2 linked regions of the Tribolium castaneum genome follow. Each later gene encodes a partner of the first gene's protein in a complex. Links are inferred from orthologs where the notes say so. Each region holds a gene or a part of one and is shown on either strand. Other genes may lie near its edges.

Region 1 (9,370 bases):
TAAACTTGACTTGAATTAGATTTATTAGGGACAAAGTTTGCAACATGAATCCTTATCAGACGCTTTCTAATAACTTTCCCAGAACACCCGGTATAAAAATCGGCGAATTTAATAGGTCACTCTGATAATTGCAATTATTTGTAAAAAGTGCAATTGTCACGACCGTTAGGCGCTTGTTCGGAGGTCAACAGCCCCTTCGCGACCTTTCCCCCGAATAAAAAATATGAAAAAAAAATTATTTCACGAATATTTTTAGAATATGATTCACTTTTTCCCTGAACACAATTAGCGGGGTCTTTGACGCTATAAATATGTAATTTGATCCAACACAAGCTCAAAAAAATAATACAACATAAAATATAAAAAATGTGGCCAGTTCCAGGTGATAGTCCAGGGCACAAAAACCACTAACCTACTCAACTTCGAACCAAAATTTGCGTATTTTGTAACCAAATTTGCACAAAGAGCACTGCAAGATGTTCATTTTATTTAAAGAAAACCGTTTTGGGCGAATCTTGAACCGTCACAGTGAACAAAACCACGTCACTTTGATTTGTGCAAATTTGACACCTTGACGAGTTATTTATACGCGAAAAGGCGCATGCGCACTGTCGCCAACCATAGAAGTAAAAAATTGACTCCCTTTCTCCGGTGATGAAAAATGGAAATTTCGCCAGAAAATCCCACTCGATTTATGTTGGCAATTTGTACGAAACGGCTAATCTAGCCAACTGTTGTTGACACCACAAGTGTTTGTTTAATTTTTTCATTGCCAACGCATTGTGGCGCGAAATTTGAACTAGATTTTTAGGTCTGTTGTTGCCATGACGTGTTTATTAGGGGAATTACCGAGAACCGCCCTCAACTTACCGCCGAAATAAATTTCGCTCATCTCCTCAAACAGGATGTATCGATTGCATTGACTGCGATTTCACGGAAATGTTATCAACGTTCGCACCCACGTGTTAATTGTTTTTTCAACCGGAAATCGCGAAAGTTTATTTACTCGAAAAAATCGTGTACTCGCCGCTAATTCGCCCAATCTCTGTGCATGTATTTTTAAGTCGTCCTTCACTCCACTTTAAGAACACACATTAAAGATGTGTTTTTATAGCGACAATACGACGATAATAAAACGATGACTGACTTTTTGCGACTCGAGGAGACCTTTTCAATAAAATAAATCACTCGGTTTACGAAAATAGAACGGCATGAATGACATCCGATCGAACCTTCGCGGCTTTGCCAACAGTATTTTACACGAGGAAAAATCGACATCAGTAAACAAATCAATTAAAAAATTGTTTATTTGATTAAAATACATATAGATATTTATTTGGTGTATTTGTAGAAGCCTTCGCCGGTTTTCACGCCCAGTTTTTTCTCATCGATTAGTTTTTGTACGGATTCGTTCGGTTTGAAAAGGGGGTTATCAGGGAATTTCTTGTGCCAGCCTTGCATGATGGCGTGCGAGGTGTCATGTCCCACGTAGTCGGCCAGTTCGATGGGGCCCATGGGGTAGCCAGCCCCCAGCTTCATGGCGGTGTCGATATCGCGGGGCGAAGCATCACCTTCGAAAAAAATTCATACATATTTTTTGTGTTAACAGCCTTTCAAAATTTTGACTTGTAATTACTGTATACTGCCGTTAAAAAAAATAGTAAGGTAATGCCGTTTTCCTTATTTTTTTTATTTAGAGATGTTACTGTCTTGACTAGTATTTGCCTTCATAAAGTACTACTTACCGATATTGAGAAATTTCTAAAAATTATGTATGCAAATTTTTTTGAAAATGAAACTATACAAATTACAAATTTTTTAACTAACAATTAGAAAAACTTTATTTGCCACAACATTGATCACATATTAATTATTTATTTAAATGTAATTTAAAAATTTAGCTCGCTTACATAACAAACCTAAAATAAAATATTAATTCATAGTAAAATTTTAAAAATCGGGTTTTTATAAAAAGAAAATTAGAAACGAGATTAACGATTTTGTGTATTGAAATTTTCAAACATTTGTTTTTCCACAAAATTAAAAATCAAATTTTAGTATATGATTAACAGAATACTTAGTAATTTGACATTGGTTAATGCAACTTAAATAGCAACTTTATGAAACGAGCCTTAGCGAGTGTCGTACGAGTGTTTTAAATTAAATGCGAGTTACATACACTATTTTTTTACGATCCGACTGATTAAAATTAAAAGACTTGCATTTTTTTTCAAAATGATTAATTTATTTTTAAAGTCAGACTCAAGGCAATCTAATAGTTGCTGCCATGTTACATTCTCATTGGTCACAAGTTGTCCTCGTGGTCACTACTCTGCATTACCATTGGTTACAAGCCAGTATCATAATGATTTTCATTAAAGTACAGGTCACAAACATTTTTAATCAATCACTTCAGGAATGGGAGTAGAAAAAATATATAACATTATAAGATAGTATTGTTTTCAGCTAATTTTTTTTATATTGGTGAAGGTTAAGTTATTGAATCAAACTTTAACTGTCGTTATGTTAAAATATTTCAATAAAAGATTAGCAAAAAATGTTAGGTACAATGCAAATTTATATATTTTTTAAATAAAACACCCTATATTGTGCATTTTTGGATATATAGAGTGTGTCTAAAGTAACGCATAAAATTCATATTATTCTGATTTTTCAAAATAAGCAAAAAAATAATCGCCCCTTATAAAATTTTTTTTTTTTCTAAATTTTTTATTTATCACTTCAATTTTTTGCACTTACTATAAAGATAAAAGAGTAATATCTACTATAAAAAACAGTAACCAAAAATATCGATTCCCATTTAAAAAAATTAAAAATAGCGGCATTATTGAGAAACCAGTGATGTCACAAATGTTACCATGTAGCATTTACAAAAATAAGCTCGACCTGTTCGAGGATTTTTTTGAAAAATGACCTTCAACAAATACATAGTTCTTAATCATAATGTTGTTTCACCAGTAGATTTTGCTAAGTTTTTGAAAAAAACCTCAAAATCCAATAAGAAAAAAAACCGGGTTGACATAAATTTACTTGGAAAAAAAATCCTAAATTTCATCTTGACAGTCTGAAGTCTGAAGAATTTTTCGGTATTTTATAACTCGATTTATTTTCCATTCGTAGAGCCTTATTGGCAATAAAAATATTTTCAAAAATTCATTTCGTTTTGTGTAACTCAAGTCGTATCAGATTTATTGAACGCCTGTATTTGCCACAAGCTTGGCAACCTTAAAGCTCTCAGCTTCGCTTCGAGCTTCAATATTACATAATTATTACCTCTCTCCATCATCCTGATGGCTTCTGCTATATAGGGCACCAGAAGCCTGTTAACAATAAACCCGGGGGTGTCCTTGCAGGTGACGCAGGTCTTGCCCACGGCTTTGCCCCACGCCATAAAGGCCTCGTACGTCTCCTGCGACGTCTCCGGAGTCCTAACAACCTCCAAAAGCTTCATAACGGGCACGGGATTGAAAAAATGCAGCCCCCCGAACCTATCCTTCCTCTTCGTAACGGAGGCAATTTCGGTAATCGAGAGCGAGCTCGTATTTGACGCAAACATGGTTTTGGGGGGCGCGACCTCATCCAAATTTTTGAACAATTTGTGCTTAACATCCATGTTTTCAACAATCGCCTCCACGACCAAATCGCTGTCTTTCACAGCTTCGGCAATGTCGGTGCACCCCTTAATCCGGGCCTGCGATTCGCTCACGAATTTATTAGCGGCTTGCGGGTCATCCTTGTGGAGTTTTTTGGCGACTCGTACCAAGTTTTTCGCAATGCTGTCTTCGGCTTTTTTGATCAAGTCGGGGTTGACTTCCACGATGGTCACGTTGTGGCCGGTTTGCGCGGCCACCTAAGCAAGGGGGCGAATGTTAGGTTAGGTTCGGGTGGTTTGGGGTACACTTACTTGGGCGATGCCTGAGCCCATGAGGCCGCCCCCGATCACAGTTACGTTTTTTATAACTGCGTTCATGGGGCTTGAAGTTGAAAGGCTTCGCTTGATGAACAGGTTTAGGGCCATTTTTTCGCGTTCGGTTACGAGTAAAAAGTGGTGTGTAATGCGGATTTTGTTTGGTTTATTAACGATACAATAACTAGGTGAAAGTCCAAGTTTGTAACCTATGATCGACTCCCACCGCTACGTTTGTGTACTTTTTAATCATTTTATCGTTTATGGCGAGATTAGGGCTCAGAAGTGAAAATCATCGTGCCGATGGTTTAAAAATAATCCGCTTTCGATAACGAGTGCGACTTTTGTACCTGAATTTATTTAGGTATTATGTAATAAAAGTGCAACATCATTCAGTCAAGTGGTACACAGGAGGGTTCCAAAATGGGGCTATATAGCAATCCCTGTTATCAATTTATCCACTTTTTTCAAAGAAATACTTGAAAAAAAATATAATTTTGGGGAAATTTGTGATTATGCAATCAGCAATACACGTGTGAGAGGTTAGTTGCATTCTATAAGTTGTCAAATGTCATAAAAACACCAACTTTTGTAAGAAAAATAATTTATTTCTGATTTAAAAAAGTACACAATTCTCGATTATCAACAATGGTTAATGTAATGAAAGGCGTTTTGGTGACCTGGTAAGGCCCTAACAATTTTTTTGAGTTTTTGTTTGACATAACCTCAATCATGCCAGATAATCCAAATCTCCGGGAATCCCAAACTGCTTATTTAAAACCTTATCTTCCATCATAAACTTCCTTTTGCACCATGATTTGACCGCGAAGATATTATCAGTCCATCGATTTGCTGCTTCTTTTACCGGTTTTATCTCACTTTGCATTAATTTCAAATTTTGAGTATCTGTGTGAGATTTCGACAGAGATTCGAATTTTTCTTTCTGTTTTTCCAGTTTTTCAATTTCCTTCAAAATCTGGCTGTCGTCCCAATTCTCTTTCCCCACCTGCGCTTTTTCCATAGTTTCGTCAATTAATTTCAATTTTTTTGTTGACGATTCTAATTTCGTTTGAAGCTCGTTAAGTTTGCGTTTTTTCGCGTTAAGTAATTTGCTGTAATTAGGATAAAACGTGTTTTTGGCCCGTCTATACCGTTTTTCGGACACTCTCCCAGTTATCTCAGTGATCTCCGTTATTATAAGAGATACGAGGTCGGTTAAATTAGGGCAAAGTTGCGCATTTTTATGCTGAACAATTATTTGAAAAAAAAAATTGTAATTTTCGTTTTTATTTTTTCAAGTGAAAACCAAAAGAACTAGACGTAGGACTTTTTCGGGCACTTTTTACAAGGAATCTAAATTTGTCATCGGATTTTCCTAGGCTTGCTTGATGTCAGAGTTACAACACTTAACTTCGTTTTTTTTATGGGAAAAAAATAAAAACGAAAATCATTTTTTTAAATTTCTCTCAATAATTCAAAAACTAAAAATGGCACATAAAATTTTCTTTCAGAAATTGTTTTGCATACAAATGCACAACTTCTCAAAAAAACGGACACCCTGTATAATATTTACCTGGGAAAAGCCCAAAAGTAGACGGAACTCCCGATCTTATCCTTATCAACAGAACCATCATCCACCAAAGCTTGGACCACTTCTTTCACAGAATTCGCCGTAATTCCTTTCTCCTTTGGCGCAATTATTTCCAATTCATTCATTTGATAAAAATCCCCAGTCTCGTGAAACAATTGCAACATCCTAGCCTTTTTCTCCTCAAAACTTAGACCTTTTTTCTTGAACATTTTCCCCTAAAAAATGCGTTGTTTCAGTGACCAGGCCATGAAACAATTCCTTTTGTATTTAGATGAGACTACAAAACTAGGCCGAAAATTCATAATTCAGGACTTGGATGAAAACCACTTATTTATTTCAGCCGATATTTTAGAGACATTACAGGCAAAAATCGACGATCTGATGGACCAAATTAGCTTCCCAGTCGCCGAAAAAAGCAATTAATTTTTTGTAATTTGCAAAAGTGAGGTTATGTCATATTGATGTGTGGTCATTCGAATTATAAATAAAAAGCGCAGCATTTATATAATGACGTGTTTTGCTATAAATAATATCGTTGCGGGCCGGTTTTCGTCCATACTTACGCAATAAGGCACTAATTAACTGTTTTTTCAAATTGTCGGTACAAATAATACAGTTCCCTGTAAATTGGAAGTGGCTACAATTACGCTTCTTTGATAACCGACTATTCTACAGTTGTTACGCCATCACGAACATTTTTACACACAAATGATAAGAATAGAATTAAGCAATAGATAACGGAAACGTGTCACTAATTATAATTTTTCCCTGATTTAATAGCCGCCGTGACGTAACCACAGCCACATGTCAAACGTCACAATTGACTTCTTTGGTTATGTTCCGTTTGTCAAAGTTATAAAACGAAAAAACGCGTTTCTCGGCCACAAATCATCAAGTGTGTTAAGTTCCGTGTCAGTGCATTTACCCCCATCATGACGGTGCCCACCCCCAGCGAGAAACTCCTCACCAATGGCTCCACCACTCCCAAGCGCCAAAACGGCCAAAAATCGGGCCTCATGAAGCTATCAAGTTACGTGCTAGCCTTGCGTCCGTGGTCCCTCAGTGCCAGTCTCATGCCCACACTGTTGGGCTCCACCATAGCGTACAAATACCCCGGAGTTACCGATTTCAACTACGCCACCCTCCTGCTCACAATTTTCACCGTGGTGTCGGTGCACGGCGCCGGAAACGTCGTCAACACCTACTTCGACTACGTCAAGGGGATCGACAACCGGAAATCGGACGACCGGATCCTGGTGGACCACATTCTGACCAAAGACGAGGTGGTGTCTCTGGGGGCCCTTTTATACTTTGCCGGCTGTGTGGGGTTCATTCTCTTGGCGGCGTTGAGCCCCGCGAAGATGGAGCACTTGGCTTTGGTCTATTTCGGGGGGCTGTCGTCGAGCTTCCTCTACACGGGAGGTATAGGCTTCAAGTATATAGCCCTCGGGGATGTGCTTATTTTGATTTTGTTCGGCCCCATTTCGGTGCTTTTCGCCTTCATGTCGCAAACGGGGCGCGTCGAGTGGGCGACGATTTACTACGCCATCCCTCTGGCCCTTAATACTGAGGCGATTTTACATAGTAATAACACAAGGGACTCTGAGTCGGACAAAAAGGTGGGAATTGTGACTCTGGCGATTATTATCGGCCACACTGCCTCGCACGTCTTGTACGCGTTTTTGTTGTTCACCCCGTATATCATGTTCATGGTGGCCTCGTTGAAATACTCGAAATGGTTCATGTTGCCTCTAGTCACGCTTCCTAGCGCTTTTAAAATCGAAAAACAGTTCAGATCCAACGATATACACAGTGTGCCCAAAAAGACTGCCAAATTGAATTTGTTTTTCGGTGTTTTGTACGTGCTGGCCTGTAGTTTGGTTCCAGCGCTGCCGTACGTCACCAAAAGATAGATGTACGAGCTCTTATTAGTTGTATTTATTTCTATTAAGTTATTTTTTACTGTGTTGAGGAACTGCGTCAAAAGGGGGCGCTAGTGCGGGTTTGCGGCTTGGGGTCCAAGCCGCAATACCTTCTCATTTTCGTTTGTTACGTCGAGATTATTGTACTTATGACAATGAACAGTCACGATCATAAAGAATGTCATCCCTATAAACTGTTGGGTCGTAAACGTCAATAAACATGATTTCGGGTTTTTACTTTTGTAACATCAACGATATTCTAATCGTGTAAATTAATAAATGTAGTCTATTTACTCCAAGTATGATCAAAACTGTATTACGTAATGTGTTAGCTTTTTAAGTAGTACTTATTTACTTATTTTTAAACAAAAGTAGGTGTACTAAAGTTCAAAACCAACGTTAGTTACATTCTGTTCCAGTTGTTAGCCACTTTTAATTTAAAATTTTAAATAGTACCCTCTATTTTTTGAAACATTTTTGTTATAAATTTTTACTTATCTTTAAATAATCTTTTTTTTGTTAGAAATTTTGCCTTTAATTTAATGTTTCTAAAAGTCCTAGTCTTTTGTCAAGTATTTACCAATAAAATTCTAAAAAAAAGTGATTATACAAAAGGACGAAGTCGCTCACAGACAAACCGAAAATGGGGTCTTACTTAAAACGAATCATCCGTTTTTAACCGCAAGTTGTTAAAGAAACTCGGCTTCGCCTCGGCTGGAATTTTTCTTTATTCAAAACGGTTGCAAAAAATAATAACGATGTTTCTCCATTTATGGATTCTATCAATATGAACTTACTAATATTTGGTCCTTCGAGCCGGATAAAGCAGCCATGTTGGCCGTGGAAAAATTATTTCACAGAAAATGTGTACAAAGTTAAAGGTTTTGCAAAATTTACACTTTTAAGCTAGAAATTCATTTATTTGGCCAAATTAAAAAAAAAATTGGAAACCTCAAAATTTAAAGTAAACTTTACAGTTTTGAAGCAACAGATTTTTGACTGATTTGACTTTGCAAAGGTAAATTCGATATTTGCTGGCCAATTCTATATATTCGTAATAAAAAAAATTATTTTATTAATCGATTTACATGAAAACGAGTTGAATACAACATTTATTTTTCGAATTTGACTCAACAAGGCTTGAAATTGCTTTAAATCTGTTAGAATAGTCAGACATTTCGTATTGAAAAATGCCAAATAGTTAAATAACTATTATGTTTGCTTAGAAACAATTTTTTAAATTTTAAATGAAAAATTATTATTGGAATTAATTATAAATTCACTGTTTTAGTTTTCAAATATGAACATACTCCTATAGATTGACTTTGTCAATGCAAGGTAAATGGTAACTTACTTTGAATTAATTTAACGTTGGAATAAATTTTAACTTGTTTTCTGTACGCCGACTCTAATTACATGTATATTATACGATTTTAATATCATTGGGGCCTAAAATCTAATAGTCGAGAAAACACTCGATGATGTGAAATTTACATTTATGACCTAAAAGATCATTGCTGTGGTTCGTAGGGGTGACATTCTTTCTGGTCGTGACTGAACCTAATCAGGTGATTGGCTCTTTCAAGGCGGGGTTTAGTCCCTGATTGGCCAATTATAAATCATGTATTTTTATAGCTGATTAATTTATTGTTAATGTTGATGAGTTTTGTATGACGTTGTGTAAGAGATTTTATAGTAAATCATTATAATTTCCGTTTGTTTTTATTTTGTGTGTCTAGACTAATATTAAACGAAACGCTTGGTAGTGGTAGTAGGCGCCATTTGACGTTTGGGGGCGCTGCAATCGCATCTCTTCCAGTCACTGCTCAGACTACTTCAATTGACAATAACGGAAAAGTCTGCGTAAAAATATCAAATAATTTATTCGTAGTGTGTGGGTTGGCCACCTGGCGGCTTGTTCGGGGCTTA
Region 2 (7,982 bases), on another chromosome or scaffold:
AGCTTCAGACCTGCGCACTGGTTGCACACTTAAGCGGGAAATTCAGAATAGGCCATAAAAGGTGTTTGTAGATCGCTAAGAACCTAATATTGGCGGTATAGGGCACCTTCTCTCTAGAAGTTTCTCCCTCCACGACCACCACATTCTTTTAAACTGACTCTCTCCAATGTAAAAAATTAACAACATACCCACAAAATGGTTAAATAATTCATTAAATGAAGAATTACGGAAATTTCGTTACACTTCGACAAGTAATGCCACCGGAGAGCGTCTAGTTAATTTTATTTTCGAATTCTTATCAGAAAGATTAAGGAATATAATATTAATTAGTTAAATAGTAGTCCTTAGTTTAATAGGTTTTCTTTTGTATTTATTTAAAACGTGAATGAAAAATTTTGAATGGTGTTGTTATACAGGCTGAGCCAATTGCTTTGTTAAAAGTCAGAGATCTAGTGAATGCTTGAATTGGTATTTTTGGTTGCATCTAAGATCATTTCAGAAATAATAATCCACTCTGTATTATAAATTCTGTCAAAACGTCGTTTAGATTTTGTCAATATGACAGTTTTTTGCAGTTTACCAAAGAATTACTGTAATATTTATTTATTACATTATTATTTATATATTTATTTTTAATGCCTGGCAACCTATTTTGATTCAAAATAATTACTGAGGTTCAGCTTCTGGGATTGGTGGATTTCATAGTCCTATTATTCGAACAACGTTCAACATGGATTTTTTTTGTCAACATTTACAGACACCTAATTGTCTACGCCACGTCCCCCTTTTCTCTGGGGAGTGAGTTCTGATACACGTTCTATAAAAACGCCAACATCGCACTTTCTTTCAAAATTAGCAGTTATAAAATATTCATGTACTTCAAAAAAATAATAGCTAATGTGATTTATATTTTCAATGAGAGATCTAATCATTAATAACTATTTCACAATTTTATCAATCTTATTTAAAAAAAATAATTCAGGAAAATGTAACGTTGGCGTTATTATAGTTTTGAAACAGCTAAAACTATTGAAAACAATGAACAAAAATGTCGATTTCCATTTAAAATAATTAAAAATGACGTCATTACTCAGAAACCAGTGATGTCACAAATGTGACTATGATGTAACATTTACAAATATAAAATCGACATGTTCGAGGATGTTTTTTGAAATTTTGTTTGAAAATGACTCCCAACAAAAATATGAATTTTATGCGTTACTTAACTTACTCTAGTTATTCGGAAGTAAAATTACCGTTGGGGGTGCCACTGAGCTAGGTCGAAAGCATTAACCATAAATGGCGGGAAATTTTTTATTCGAATATTTTGAGCGTTGTACGAATTTTGAAACTTCACAATTATTTCATTGTCTATACGGGATGACTATTGTATCTTTGGTGCAAGAAACGAATGTTGACAAATTAGAGATGATGAGGAAAACACGAATAACGAATGACTGCTTGGTTCACTTTTTTATTGGAAAATTATTACAAAGGCATCGAAAAGCCTACCTTTTGACATAATTTACATTTAAATGTCTCAGCAGTTTTTAATCTTAATTGTAGTTTTGTAAATTTACCAATGTATTTCATGATTTTTCCTGTGGAAAAATTCTAATCTAAAATTCACACACTTCACTAATTTATTGGTTTCCTGAGCCCAACTTTGTGTTCGCTGTATCCATTACTTATGGTCTTTAATTTGACAACTTTAATTTGTAATCAAAATTTAAATCTTTTTCACTTTTTATCCACTTTCAAATTCCAAGAATAAACACTTTATACCACGAAAAACCGCAGAACCAAAGTCAAAGCTAGTATTTACCACCACGTACTTTTAAGGTAGTTGGTGCCTAAATTAACATTCTTAAGATTTCTTTTAAATTTTAACAGATTATTGTTCAAAGAATTCCATATCGATGGTGCAAAAATGAAAAAGATTGACCGTCTAGTTTCGGAGACATTGAATTTTGAAAATTGAGTTTTTGACTCTTTTACATTGCGGCATATGGTGAATCAAAATTTTTTTGTACGTTTTTTGGTATAGCTATCAAACCCTTCTTAAGATTTTTTTTAAAAACTAAATCATCATTCAGCAACATCAAATAAGTATTTTAAGGGGAAAAAAACTGGGGGTCACCGTCCAAATTTTGGAGATATTAATTAATAAACGATAAGAAATTTGTAGTAAAAGGGTTACACTAAAATAGAACTGGCAACACAGCGCATCTGTAAAACCGCTAAAAATGAATTTTGAATCAGTTAACAAACAAAACAAATATCCCGACACAGAATTTTTGACTTTGGAGCTATGTTCGGGATAGTTAGGAAGTAAATAGATTAAAAATGGCTGTTCCTACGAGGTGAGCGTGCCACAGGGGCCACCTAGAAGATGTAATTACGGTTTTTTTCGGTTAAATTTCGAAAATAGGACGCGTTTACAGTAAAACCGCTGTAGCTTTTCATCGTTTATCGATGGTTTTAGCCTAATAATTCTTCCTTTGTGATGTAATTATTTGACACATTTGACATTTTCAATCGAAACTCCGACAGTGTTGTCACATTCCACAAATGAGTTATGACTGGCCAGGGCAGTACATTCACAGTAAAAATTTTTGGGTTGGTTACTGTGGATACTATACACTGTGGCACCATATATTCTTTTGGCCTAACTTTTTGCTCCGATTGTAAGGCCCCAACTACCTTAAAGTGATTCTCTCTACTGTAAGTAATTAACACTACACACGCAAAATTGTTAAATTAAAAAATTAAATTAAATATTGAATTACGAAAATTTCGTTACTGTTTTCGACATAGTTCAAAAGTCGTCACCAGAGGGCGTCTAGTTAATTTTATTTCCGAATACAACCAATCACTACGCACAGGAGTGAACAAACATTAACAAATCCTGGTTTAGACATTTAAGAAGTTGAGTTGCAACAAATGTGGCGGTTTCAGACGTCCAAACATGAAAAAAATGCAAATCATGGCACATTAAAGACTTGGAGAAAGGATGCGGCTTTTGATACATTTTAGTAAACACAAGTATGAATCACAATCCATGTTCTTACTCATTTGTCCCAGTAATAAACTAAAGAATCTGAGATAAAGTGTAACACTTACCGCTCTTTCACAATAAGCCCCCATCAGCTTCCTGAGAGGGGTGTGCTTTTTGATCTTGAACTGGACGACAGCATTATCTTGTCCCAGTACTTTCAAGTTGATATGTTCCGTTTCATTGCTCTGCAAAGTCCCAAAAACGTGAGTATCAGTTCAAAATTACGGGAAAAAAACCTCGTTTATGGTTAGGAAAGAAAAGTCATGTTTACCTTCTTTTCGTCACCCATATTTGGCAAATTTGGTTGTGGCTTGTAGGAGGGTCTGGGGCCGAAGTTGATGCACAAATGTAAACGGTTTTAGTGGAATTTGGTGCACTTTTAACCGTTTTATCAACAGACACGCAGCTTGCCGCTAACAAATAATGGCCGGCTTGCTTGCAAAGTAGCGGTAACTGCTCGCCGGAAGTGACTACGCGGTTAGTCAAAGTCGGCTTTAGCTGTTCAAACTTCACACTTCCGCTTGAAACATTTGTAGAAATTTACCACTTCACGTTGACAAAACGTGCTTGAAACAACGCGGTAAATTAATACAAAAAATTAGGCTTTGTTTTCAATATAACTTTCACATGTTTTCTGCGATTTTTTAATAATTTAATCAAGAAATTAATCCTTATTTGTTATTGCCGTCGACAGATGGCAGGCCACAAGCTTCAATTGATCAGGAGCACCAATATTCCAGAAGTGAAGAACCCAGAAATTCACGAAATTAGAAATCAAAAAGCTTCTAGAAAAGCGCAGTTAAAGCTTTTTGAAAGTAATCTAATTTAAAGTCTAAATACCAACGCAACAAATTTTGATTAAGCGAGAGTGTGAGGTACAGAATTTGGTTAATTTTTGATGTGTCAGTGAAAAATTAGGTTATATTTTTTCAGGTTTTGTCGAGACAAGATGATTATACCGGTTCGTTGTTTTACTTGTGGGAAAGTTATTGGAAATAAATGGGAGGCTTATCTTGGGCTTTTGCAAGCTGAATATACGGAAGGAGATGCTTTGGATGCTTTGGGTTTGAAGAGGTACTGTTGCAGAAGAATGCTTCTTGGACACGTCGATCTTATTGAAAAGTTATTGAATTATGCTCCTTTAGAGAAGTAATCTGTAGTAGTAAGTCTGTTAAGTAAGTGTAGGTGTAAGTTTAATTTTATGGCATGTAAAAAGGCGCGTTTTTGAATAAATTTTACTATTATGCCTTGTCTTTCATAAACCAGCATTTTTGCAACATCCTATTTAGTTTTTCCTACTTCACGAGTTCACGGTAACTTTTTTGTTTATTTTTATAAAGTTATTCAAAAAAATTGCATTATCTTTGTTAATTCAACCATGTCTAGAGGGTCAAGAAAGTGTCGATATGGTGATAAGGGATGTCCAGTAAAGTTTAGAAATGAAGTCAGATCTTTTCCCAAGCAACTTGATTTTTTTATCATTCTTGTATTTGTTTTCTTTAGCAACCATTTTAATTGTTGTTTTGTTTCCAGTGATTAATAATATTAATATGATTAATATTAAATTATTTATTGTATAATTTGCTAATTTAAGTGTTTGTAACACCATAAGACAATAATTGTTGGTGATTTTTTTAAAAGATACAGGGTGACTCAGGGGTGCGGTCTGTAACTTTTTTGTTACTTGAAATTTTGCCATGTTTTCGTTTTCATTATTCTATAGATAGACTTAAAGTCCACAAACTATCTTTTTTTTATTATACACAGGGTGTTGTATACATCCTGGTTTACTAGAGTTATATTTTTTGAAATGAAACACCCCATACATTTTCACATAATTATATTCTATGCAAAAAGTAATGTAACTTTAAATAAACTATTATGGGTTTATCTCTTTTCGTTTTAAAATTATTCAACTTCTCGTTATGAAAAAGACCATCTTTAGAAAAATCACTGCGAAGTCGCTTATGAATATTTTCCGATAAATTTGCAACAGAATAAGTCAGAATATCCCGTAATTTTAATAATAGTCGACTTTTACTTGAAACACGCAGGTAATGTACATGGTGTGCCAGAACGCAAAAAGTTGAATAACATTTTTTTTTTCAAATGGAACACTATCTATTTCTTTACACTATCCAATGATATGCGATTTGTACAACAAATTAGAAATATCTCTTATTTTTTTTCTTCATTTCATTTATGTTTCAAGTAATAATTAAATTATTAATGTAAATAGTCACATTGGTACATGTCAAAAAATAAATTACAATTTGACTTATCACATTGTAGAATAACAAATTTCCTTGTAATAAAATATTTTTTTGAAAAATCTCGAAAAACGTTTTAAATTTGCTATGCAAATCCTTCCATTTGAAAAAAAAGAGTTATTCAACTTTTTGCGTTTTGGCACACCCTGTACATGGTTTGCGTGTTTCACGTAAAAGTCGACTATTTGCTGAAACTGTAAAAAAATCTGTGGAATAAAAAAGATTGTATAAATAACTGAAAAATTAAAAACCATCCACTTCAAAATCACGAAATTTTAGAAACTCGTGTGTGTAAAGACAATAATTTTTCTAACCAAAACCAAAAAATCTTACTATCATCATAAATTGGATAATATGTATAAATTTCATTTTTAGTTATAGTTTTTCAAGATTTCCAGCTTCATATTTTTCTAGGTTTTGATTTTTTAAGATATACAGGGGTGGTCCAGCCCAGCACCCGTCTTCTGCAGCTCAGTTACTATTAAAGTTGTTTCTATTTTTTAATGATTTTTAAAACTAAAGGTGTAAAACCGTGTTTTTTTAATTTGTATTTTTTTAACAGTAATCTCCTAACCGATTTGAAAAAAATAGAGACATGTAAGAAGCTAAAAAAATATCATAATGAGCACAAAAAATAATAGGATGCCATAAAAAAATTATTATTATGATGTCATACTTTTTGAGGACACTATATAGTTAATATATTTTCCTGAAATGTGTCCTAGAGTATAAATAAGTAATATCTACAAAATATCAAAACTCCAACTTTAATAATAACTGAGCTACAGGAGACGGGAACTGGGCTGGATCATCCTGTATTCAATTTTAAACTTTTACCTTTAATTTGGTTAATTTTTTGCGAAATAGTAACGTTTTGAATGAAAGACAAATTTACTTAGAAAAATTTCACGCTTGAAAATCCAATTGATTGCCATTGTAAAATTAGATTGGTGTAAGAATAACGGTTTAAATGGAAAAACAGCATACACTCTCTAAACTAATAACAGCAATAACTATGAGTAAGTCATTCAAAGAGGCTGGTTAAATAAGTTAATTTTGGGTCTAGTTAAAAATTAAATAAAAAGAAGATACTGTGATTTAGCTTGTGACAGCTGAGTTAATTGTAAACTGTGAAGCACAAACTAACTATCCTTCCTTGAGGTTCGAGTGCGGTTATTTGTGTTAAAAGAAACAAAAATGATAATTTTTGTATTTATTTATTATTCAAACAATAAACCTGTACAGAACAAATTTCATAATGGACAGCACTGTAAGTGTGATGTAACGTAAAATCATTTGGAAACTGATTCAAACAGAGAAAATCAGATCAAATTGAGTCGTGATTCTTACGTACGGACGTGCGATTAAAATAGACTCCTTTGTCAGACAAATATTTATTTATTAGTTTCGATGATATTAGTCTTATGATCTAATCGTAATTTTTAAATGCCGATTTTTTTCAGTGCATAGTGTGTATAATCAACAAGTGTGTTATACATCACTAGAACATTAATACAAAATACAGTTATTTCATGACTACTTGTTAAACTCTAGTTTGACTAATTATTAACCATGAGAAAGCAACAAATTTAAAGTTAATAAGATAAAATAAATCTTATGTCACATGGGATTTTAAGTAAACTTTTAGATTTAATATCACTGGACACATAGTACTATTATTGTTATTATTATTATTTATTAGTGGTCCGAGAACAATACACTTAAATTAATCTTGACTCTTTTGACGCCAGATTAGTCCTTACGAAATAATTAATTTTACAAAAAAAAAGTAGTATTATATCGTAAGAGATATAAGAGAACTAAGCTGTTACTTTTTTAAATAGAACGATCAGAGTAAGTTGACTAGTGAATCCTGTTTTATTACAAAAAATGTAAATTTTTGAGAAATCAAGTGGGAATACGGACTTAACTGTTAAAGCAAGACAAAAGTACAGGGTGTCTCAGCTAAGACTTTCGAGCCTGATATCTCAGATATTTGTCAACGGATTTTTATGAAATTTAAAATGCAGATATTTTAGAAGATAAAGATTAAAATCCAATTAATACAACAACTCAAGTCTTAAAAACGTAATTTTTACATGCCTTTTTAAAATATCAAGCCTTGTAAGACTTATATTAAAAAAAATATCGTCAGTGAAAAATGCTGTCAGAAAAAACTCGTTCGTGAAAGACATCTGTTTCGCGTGAAAAATGAGAAACAAACTGTTAAACAAATGCAAAAGCCTAGATCTCTATGAAACAAATGAATTTTGGTCAATCCTACTCGCAGAAACGTAACTGTCACGCAAGGGACATTTCACAATTATCTCTCACCCATACAAAGTTAAAAAAACAATATTTGTGACTTACTTTTGGTACTGGATGCTTTAATTCTTTTAAAAAAGACTAAAAGACTGAACAACAACTGAAAAATTTTAGACACTTGAACATTCAGGACTTTGGAAATGTTTCGTACACTGCTGATTGGATTCTCTTCAAAAGCTTGAATTACAGCCCCAACTATTGCTTCGTTTCCAGTGACCTGTTTTGTCCTCACTCGATTTAGTTCAGGTTCGCTTCCTGTGTCTTCAAATTATTGACGATTCTTTGAACTTTAAGTTTCATAAATAACATTTCACAAAAAGGCCAACGAC

What was found.
Region 2: Tfb5 (region 1) and Polr2L share a complex: the UniProt entries of both Homo sapiens proteins name them as parts of the TBP-based Pol II pre-initiation complex. The link is inferred for Tribolium castaneum from reciprocal best matches to the Homo sapiens genes GTF2H5 and POLR2L.

Annotation. Positions count from the first base shown.
Region 1 is NC_087399.1:6,495,029-6,504,398, reverse strand, and holds Tfb5 (general transcription factor IIH subunit 5), read left to right. Parts: upstream 1-4,469; 5' UTR 4,470-4,576; coding exon 4,577-4,611; exon of another isoform or gene 4,612-4,658; coding exon of another isoform or gene 4,659-5,040; intron 5,041-5,501; coding exon of another isoform or gene 5,502-5,728; exon of another isoform or gene 5,729-5,734; intron 5,735-5,755; coding exon 5,756-5,942; 3' UTR 5,943-6,027; downstream 6,028-9,370. Other genes in the region: hydroxyacyl-coenzyme A dehydrogenase, mitochondrial, read right to left, coding at 1,333-1,571, 3,295-3,871, 3,926-4,039; meiotic nuclear division protein 1 homolog, read right to left, coding at 4,659-5,040, 5,502-5,728; heix (ubiA prenyltransferase domain-containing protein 1 homolog), read left to right, coding at 6,452-7,432. UniProt on the Homo sapiens protein: Component of the general transcription and DNA repair factor IIH (TFIIH) core complex, which is involved in general and transcription-coupled nucleotide excision repair (NER) of damaged DNA and, when complexed to CAK, in RNA transcription by RNA polymerase II.
Region 2 is NC_087394.1:15,046,535-15,054,516, reverse strand, and holds Polr2L (RNA polymerase II subunit 10), read left to right. Parts: upstream 1-4,007; coding exon 4,008-4,211; downstream 4,212-7,982. Other genes in the region: Sumo (small ubiquitin-related modifier 3), read right to left, coding at 3,124-3,243, 3,330-3,347. UniProt on the Homo sapiens protein: DNA-dependent RNA polymerase catalyzes the transcription of DNA into RNA using the four ribonucleoside triphosphates as substrates.